Sus scrofa: one gene and its partner. Each later gene encodes a partner of the first gene's protein in a complex. Links are inferred from orthologs where the notes say so. Each region holds a gene or a part of one and is shown on either strand. Other genes may lie near its edges.

What was found.
Region 2: PIGC (region 1) and PIGY share a complex: the UniProt entries of both Homo sapiens proteins name them as parts of the glycosylphosphatidylinositol-N-acetylglucosaminyltransferase (GPI-GnT) complex. The link is inferred for Sus scrofa from reciprocal best matches to the Homo sapiens genes PIGC and PIGY.

The regions. Positions count from the first base shown.
Region 1 is NC_010451.4:114,824,481-114,827,486, forward strand, and holds PIGC (phosphatidylinositol N-acetylglucosaminyltransferase subunit C), read right to left. Parts: upstream 1,499-3,006; coding exon 605-1,498; downstream 1-604. UniProt on the Homo sapiens protein: Part of the glycosylphosphatidylinositol-N-acetylglucosaminyltransferase (GPI-GnT) complex that catalyzes the transfer of N-acetylglucosamine from UDP-N-acetylglucosamine to phosphatidylinositol and participates in the first step of GPI biosynthesis.
Region 2 is NC_010450.4:130,525,990-130,530,523, forward strand, and holds PIGY (phosphatidylinositol N-acetylglucosaminyltransferase subunit Y), read left to right. Parts: upstream 1-1,581; 5' UTR 1,582-1,653; coding exon of another isoform or gene 1,654-1,856; intron 1,857-2,954; coding exon of another isoform or gene 2,955-3,096; 5' UTR 3,097-3,185; coding exon 3,186-3,401; 3' UTR 3,402-3,994; downstream 3,995-4,534. UniProt on the Homo sapiens protein: Part of the glycosylphosphatidylinositol-N-acetylglucosaminyltransferase (GPI-GnT) complex that catalyzes the transfer of N-acetylglucosamine from UDP-N-acetylglucosamine to phosphatidylinositol and participates in the first step of GPI biosynthesis.

The DNA of each region.
Region 1 (3,006 bases):
TTTTCTCTCTCTCTTTTAGTGCCGCACTCATGGCATATGGAGGTTTCTAGGCTAGGAATCCAATTGGAGCTGTAGCCGCTGGCCTACACCACAGCCACAGCAATGCCAGATCCGAGCCTCATCTGTGACCTATACCACAGCTCATGGCAACGCCAGATTCTTAACCCACTGAGCAAGGCCAGGGGTCGAATCTGCGTCCTCATGGATATTAGTCAGATTCGTTTCCACTGAGCCACGACAGGAAATCCACACACATATTCTTTGTGTCCCTTTTGTCTGTCTTCTGCTTACAGAAAAATTGTGAGACAACTTGATGGATGTGTTGTTAATTTTTTTAATAGATAGAAACCACATCACTTCATTTGTTACATTGAATGAGAGGCAATAATTGAAGAGGGCCCCACAAAGCTTTTCCCGCCACAAAATAACAGAAAGGATAAGCACCTTCACCACCCAAGCCTTTGGTTAACTTTTTCTTTTGATTTCTGATCTCCCACCCACATCAGCATGCTGCTTCCAGAATGGAATTCTGCCTTCGAATCTTATACTAGTTGGAGGGCTAGTCTATCAGTTTGTCTTAGTAACAGAATGGAAGTCACCAAACTCAGCTGAGGAACCTGGACAAGTCTTCTTTGATTTCAGCCTCATCCCAAGGCCCATGAATGTTCTCTTTAAACAGCTGCAAGCGAATGAGGTAGAAAGGACAGAGACATGAGATGGAAACCAGCAGAAGGGCAAAGAGTATGGCTCCCACAACACTAATGGACAGGAGGCCTCCCAAGGCTGAAAATGCAAAAAGCAGTGTGACTCCCACATAACTGCAGGGAGTACATGCCTTCAGTTTTTTCTGTAACATGGGCCACAGGGCAAAAATCTGGATGGCAAATGTCACCATGATGAAGGCATGTAGGGACCGGGGCAGGCGTGAGGCAAGGCAGACAGAAGCAAAGATGGCCATGTTCAAGGACAGTGTGCTGGATACAATGGCAGCATTGGCACCATAGTCAAAGAAGATGAGGTGGCCCAATAGCATGAAGACTGACATGGCATAGATGGTGTCAGTGCTGACAGACTCTGTCAGGGTCTTCAGCACCGGTGAAAAGCCGTATGTGAAAGTAATGAAAACTAGGGCACTCTTCAAGTCAGCCCACCGGGTCCGCCCACTCTTCTTCCGTCCTTCACCTCCATCAATGAGATCAAACAAAACATAGCCAATCAATGAAGAGGCCAGGCCAGTCCCGAAAAGCCAGTGGGGTGCCAGAAGACCCTCATCCATATACCACCAGATAACCACAAAAACACAGACACTGCATAGCTGCTGGATCACCACACTGGACTCAAATACTACAGCCCAATACTGGTATTTCCGGGCATAGATGTTTTTCCGGAGCTCTTCCAGGAACCTTCGGTCCACATAGTTATCAGGAAAGGGCTGTCGCTCATACAAGACCTTCTGCCACTTGGCCTCTTTGGTGTTAGTTACAGGCTGTGAACACATTATCCTTTTGCTCAAACTCAGGCTAGTTCAATCTCCGTTGTAGAAGTCCATGTGGTTCTTGTTCTTTATAAAGTTTTGAAATAAGACCTCTCTGGAAATTTCATGTTGAATGTGGTTGATATGGTACCAACCTTCCCTTGCTTTCAAAGGCAGAACCCAGGCTAGACCTTTAGTAGATGAGTTTGTTCTCTGAGGCAGGACAATATAGCCAAGTTCCTAGAAAAAGAGAGACTGTGAATCTATGAATGTTGTGAAAGGTCAAGGGTAGGACTGAGTTAAAATCAAACCAACTTATTGGGTTATCATAAGCTTATTAGAAGTCTGAACAAAATATATATGGTGGCCATCATGTAACTGAGGACATTAAAATTTCATTTCAGATTTTACATTATAATCCCTTAGCAGCTACCATTTGTCAAGAGTGCATACTATGTACTAAGAGCCTTACGTAGCTTCTTTCATTTAATCTCCACAATCCTGGAGATTAACCCAACTAATAAAGCAGCAATTCAAAGTGCTTAGGTAACTTTAGCCCAAGTTAACAGTGGTAATTAGTGGAGCCAGATTCAAAGGAAACTTCTTTCCCAAAGGCTTCACATGTCTCCCTCTAAACTAGTTCTTAACTCAGGGGTTCACATATCCCTGAGGTCTATGGATGGGCTTCAGACCCTTCAACAACCCTCCCAGTCAATGCATATTTGTAGTTGTAATTTATGCAGATTTCTAAGGCTAGGATCCAAAGCTTTTACTGGGTTCTCAGAGGCATCTATTACTGAAAAAAGTTACCGGTCTAAAAACAAAAACCTCATAATAATAAAGGTACAAGCTCTAAGGTTTATTTAACTAAAGCCAAGGACTGGAGATTCTTAATCCCTTGACCGAGTTTAGCAGCCTTAAAAAGAGTTATCATTCTACTTATTTAACGCGAAACTCTAGGAAGGATCGGAGATAATGATCTCCTTTCCACTACTGCAAAACTAAGAGTCAGAAATACCAAGATCATCCAGCAGGTCTGCGAAGAAAATTCTTATGGCCCGACCTTACGTCTTCCATGGAGACCATGATAGGTTTTGCTTCACAAACCAGACGCCCTGGGAGGCTCCCTCACCGCAGCAGGGACCCCAGCCCCGGCATCTCACGGCCGCCGCAGGGGGCTGGAGGGTCCCAGGCGCTGAAAAGGGCAACGCCCGCCCGCTGGGTCGGGGACAGGGCTGGGGAGGGGGTGGGGAAGGGGAGGGTGTCCCCGAGGGTGTACCCCGCCCGCCGCCACCCCTCACCCAGCCTCGGCCCTGCGGGGGATGGCGGAGGAGGCCCGGAAATACTGACTCCCACTCGGAACCCACCTGCCCGCGAGTTCCTAGGGGTGCGCGGCCGGGCGAGGGCGGCCGCCCGCCTCCTTCCCCATCCGGGGCGCCGGGGTCGCGCCGGCGGCCGAGCACTTCCGGGGCCGCCACAACCTCTGCGGCCAGAGCGTCCTTCCTCTGCCCGCGCGGCCTTGAGGTCACTGC
Region 2 (4,534 bases), on another chromosome or scaffold:
TGTGAAGTGGTAAAGCCCCAACGATGCAAGAAAAGATTCAATATTTAGCGAGACAACGAGAAAATTTGGACGTTCCCCTCGTGGCTCAGCAGGTTACGAACTCAACTAGTATCTATAAGGATGCGGGTTTGATCCCTGACCTCGCTCAATGGGTTAAGATCTGGCTTTCCTGTGGCTCTGGTGTACGCTGGCAGCTGCAGCTCGTATTTGAGCTCTATCTAGCTTGGGAACTTTCATGTGCTGCAGGTGCGGCCCTAAAAGGACAAAAAAAGGGGGTGGATTTTGATGACTAACCAAGAATCTTCTAGTATACTGGGCTGCAAAGAATAGAGAAAATAAAAATGACAACATATGCCATTAACTGAGCATTCATTTGCCACAGGCATTTTTCTAAATACTCTTTGCATTCATTAGCACATTTTAAGCCCCAGGATGGAATTATATGAGGTAGGAACAATAATTAATCTAATTACACAGATAAGAAAGCTGGGGAGGGAGTTCCCGTCGTGGTGCAGTGGTTAACGAATCCGACTAGGAACCATGAGGTTGCGGGTTTGGTCCCTGCCCTTGCTCAGTGGGTCAAGGTTCCGGCGTTGCCGTGAGCTGTGGTGTAGGTTGCAGACGCGGCTCGGATCCCGCGTGGCTGTGGCTCTGGCGTAGGCCGGCGGCTACAGCTCCGATTCGACCTCTAGCCCGGGAACCTCCATATGCCGCGGGAGCGGCCCAAGAAATGGCAAAAAGACAAAAAAAAAAAAAAAAAAAAAAAAAAGAAAAAGAAAAGAAAGCTGGGGAGTTAGGAGATTTGCGGGAGCCCTACAACTAGTAAACGATGCACCTGGGACCAAGGTGTCAGGCCCGGACCCCCGGCACTTACCTCCTACACTATAAGAAAGAGATCAAATCCGCATCATTTTCTGGGAGAGTCAGAAGCAAATGCGGGGCGAGAAAAAAACCACTGTGTGGATCACCCACTTAATTAAAGGACACAGTTACTTAGACTCCTTGCGGTTTCCAAGCTCATTTACAGAAGCAAATGAGTGGTGCTATTATTATGCCATTGAGCCCAGGGTAAGAAACTGGGCATCTTAAGTTTAAGAGGACTAAGCCATTCTTTTCCCGTTCTTATATTTTTTTTAATGAAAGGAGAAAAAAAAAAAGCCAAACAAGGTTATAGGAAGTGTGGTACTGCAAAGACTGACAGATACACATAAAACAAGTAATGCTTTTTAACATACCCAGTGTGACAGTGTGTTGGAAACCTCCTTTTGGTGATAACCACGGAGGTCCAAGTCTATCACTGTGTGACTCTGAGGTCCGGCCACTGGCTTCCTGGAGGCCCTGCGACAGGCCCTGGTGAAAACTCAGGACGCCTCCACTTGAGCGTGGGTTTTGTCTGCAACCTGCAAACGGGCAGGAAGAGCCGCAGAAAGCCCAGGCTGCAGGCGGGGCTCTCCATACCGAGCGGTGCCGCGGGAAAAGCAGTCGGGTCCCGAGCGCCCTCGGAACCAAAGAGCGGGCCTCCAGCCGTCGGGGGCAGCGTTTCCCGAGCACCGGGGGGCGGGGCCTGGCCGCCTGGGCGGGACTCCCCGGGATCGGCTGGAGCGGCCGGAGCGGCCCAGGGGGTGCGGAGGTCCGCGCGCCGGCGGCCAGACCATGCTGAGCGGAGCGCGCGGTCGGCTCGCCTTAGCGCTGCGAGGGACACGCGCGCCGCCGTCCGCGGTCGCCAGGAGGTGCCTGCACGCTTCGGGCTCGCGGCCGTCCGCGGACGAGAACAAGAAGGAGGGGAAACCGCCACGCGCCTTCGACCCGGCGCTGCTGGAGTTCTTGGTGTGCCCGCTGTCCAAGAAGCCGCTCAGGTAAGATTCGTCCGCTGCGGCTTTTCCCTGGTGGCCCCCTGTCGCCGGGGAGACGTTCAGGTCACCCGGGTGTTCTTCGCTGCCATGTTTTGGACCCGGGCCCGCCAGCTTCCCGGGTACTCGCTCCGCCGCGGGAAGGGCGGGAGGAGGCCCCAGCCGAGCCCCAGGCCTCCCGGACCAAACCGGCCACTCGCAGGCCTGGATCCTGGCGGGCAGCTTCTCCGCCGGCAGCGTTTTAGAATCTCGGGGGAATCCTTCTTAAAACGCAGATCTCTAGGCAACGCCCCACCCGGGCTCAATCCGAAGGCCTTGGGGCCGAGCCAGAGCAACTGCGTATTTTCTTGAAAGGATCCCAAGTGATCTTCCTGTACAGCCAGGGTTATGAACTCGGGATTCGGAAGACTAATCCATGGCATTCAGATTTTTAAGGCAAGGCGATGAAAAATGTGATAGCTTCCAGATTGTTGCGAAAACGCCGGGTAGGATCTTAAGCGCATCAGCTACGTGTGCGGCCCTTTGGTTTTTAGTTCTCGACCAGCCGGTTCTGTAAAGGCCTTCTTAACCTTTCACCTAGACTCTTTAGGATAAACATCTCTGCAGTTGCAGGCTGCTAAACCTGAACGTGGACAATACTAGCAAACACCGCAGTGTCATCAGTGGCTGCCTTTGGGTGGTAGATTGCTGCTTCCGTGGTTTCCTTCTCATGGATCAGTGAGGCAGGTGTTCTGATAAGCGAAGAAGCTGAATTTTCCTCTCGTGTCTGTTCCAGTAGTAAATTAGCTGGGATCGTTTGAGGGTTTAAAAGAGTCATGAAGGAATATTTGGATGAAAAGGAGAGATCTTTTCTTTTTTTTTTTCCACTAAGGCATAGCTTAAGAATAACGTGAAAAAGAAAATGAGAGAAACAGACTAAAATGGGAACAATTAGAGATTCCTTTTCTAAGAGAAATGGTTGAATTGGCTACTGCTGCTTTTAGAATGAAAAACAGTCTAATTCTGCTTTTCTGGCTCTAACTGTGTGAAGAATTGGATAAATGTTACTGTTTATTGAACCTCAGACTCTTCCGGGATTCATTTTGGTTTTCTTCTGCCCCTCAGATATGAACCATCGACAAATGAATTGATTAATGAAGAGCTGGGAATAGCCTATCCGATTATTGACGGGATTCCTAATATGATACCACAGGCAGCTAGGATGACACATCAAAATAAGAAGCAAGAAGAAATGAAGCAGCACTAGGTCATACGTAAACACAACACAAGGAAATTTTCTAAACACCATCCACCTTCGAAGAAGCCAGCGTGGCGGGTGGTGGGTGGGAGAGAAGAATGTTTCTGTCTCTTCCCACGCTGACTGTCCTTGTCCCCCTGGTCTCTCTGGGAGGACTGCTGTACTCCGCCTCCGTGGAAGAGAGCTTCCCCCAGGGCTGCACCAGCACAGCCAGCCTGTGCTTCTACAGTCTGCTCCTGCCCATCACCATCCCCGTTTACGTGTTCTTCCACCTCTGGACTTGGATGGGTATTAAACTCTTCCGGCATAATTAACGCAGCCGGAGCCACGATGGTATTTAAACTCATGATATGCTTGAGTGAGTGTGTCCGAAAGCTCCGCCACATGGAAATACTGGAAACCCAGACTTTGCAGGAAAGAGGCTTTGCTTATTAGCCTTTGTCAGAGGTTTAGGACTATGTGACGTTTAAGCTGCAAGAGGCTTCTTTCTTGTATTTTGGTTCTTCCCCTGCTTTTTGAAGGTTCTGATTTATACCTGGTCTCTCGGAAGAAACATTTCAACAAAGTGGCTTGTTGGAAATTAGCACCCCCACAGCCATCATCTGATGGCTTGTTCTTATCCCATTCATAATTAAAAATTACTAATTCGAAATTGTAGGTTTGTTTTTAGGTTCAAAGCCTTTGGTAAAGCCACATGTGAAGGATGACTGAGATAATTCCAAGGAGCTATGGGGAGTAATTGTAGAGAAATGCATTTGGACTAGTGTGATATAAAACTATAATAAAATGTAAATTTCATGTACTTGCCAAAATTCTGAGTTGGTAAAATTGCCTTCATTTCTTTGGCATCAGATGGCTTACATTATTAATAAGATATTGACATTTTCCATAAAACAATTTGCAGTTTTGTGTTTGGTTTTTTTTTTTTTTTCCTTTTGGTCACAAGAATATAATTCAAAGACAAGGAAATTATATGTTTAGAGAGGCACCCAAAATAGAACAGAATTTCCCAGGAAAGTATGTGCTGTGAGGAGAGGTGGAATTGAAAGACTGGCAAATAGCTGATTGTGTCCTGTTGAGTTTAGTTAGGGCGATTATTGAGCCACATTTCAGTTTATTTTTCTGCCATAAGAGACCTATTTATTTAGCAATACTAAGGGCATGAGCATTTGACACATTAATAGTTATTGATTTTCCAGAATTTTCAATAAGACTGATTAGTACAATAACTGTTTCAGAAGTATAACAAATGTTTCAGTATTTACCCTCATGAAGCCTAAGAACTCAATGTAACCTTAACTGATTCTTAATAGAATTTTAAAGTAGTGTAAAAGAAGCTTTAGACAGTGATTCTTCCCCTTAAAAAGAAAATTTAAAACATGAGGTTAGGCATTCCCGTCGTCGTTGTTGTGGCTCAGTGGTTAATGAATCCAACTAGAAACTGGGG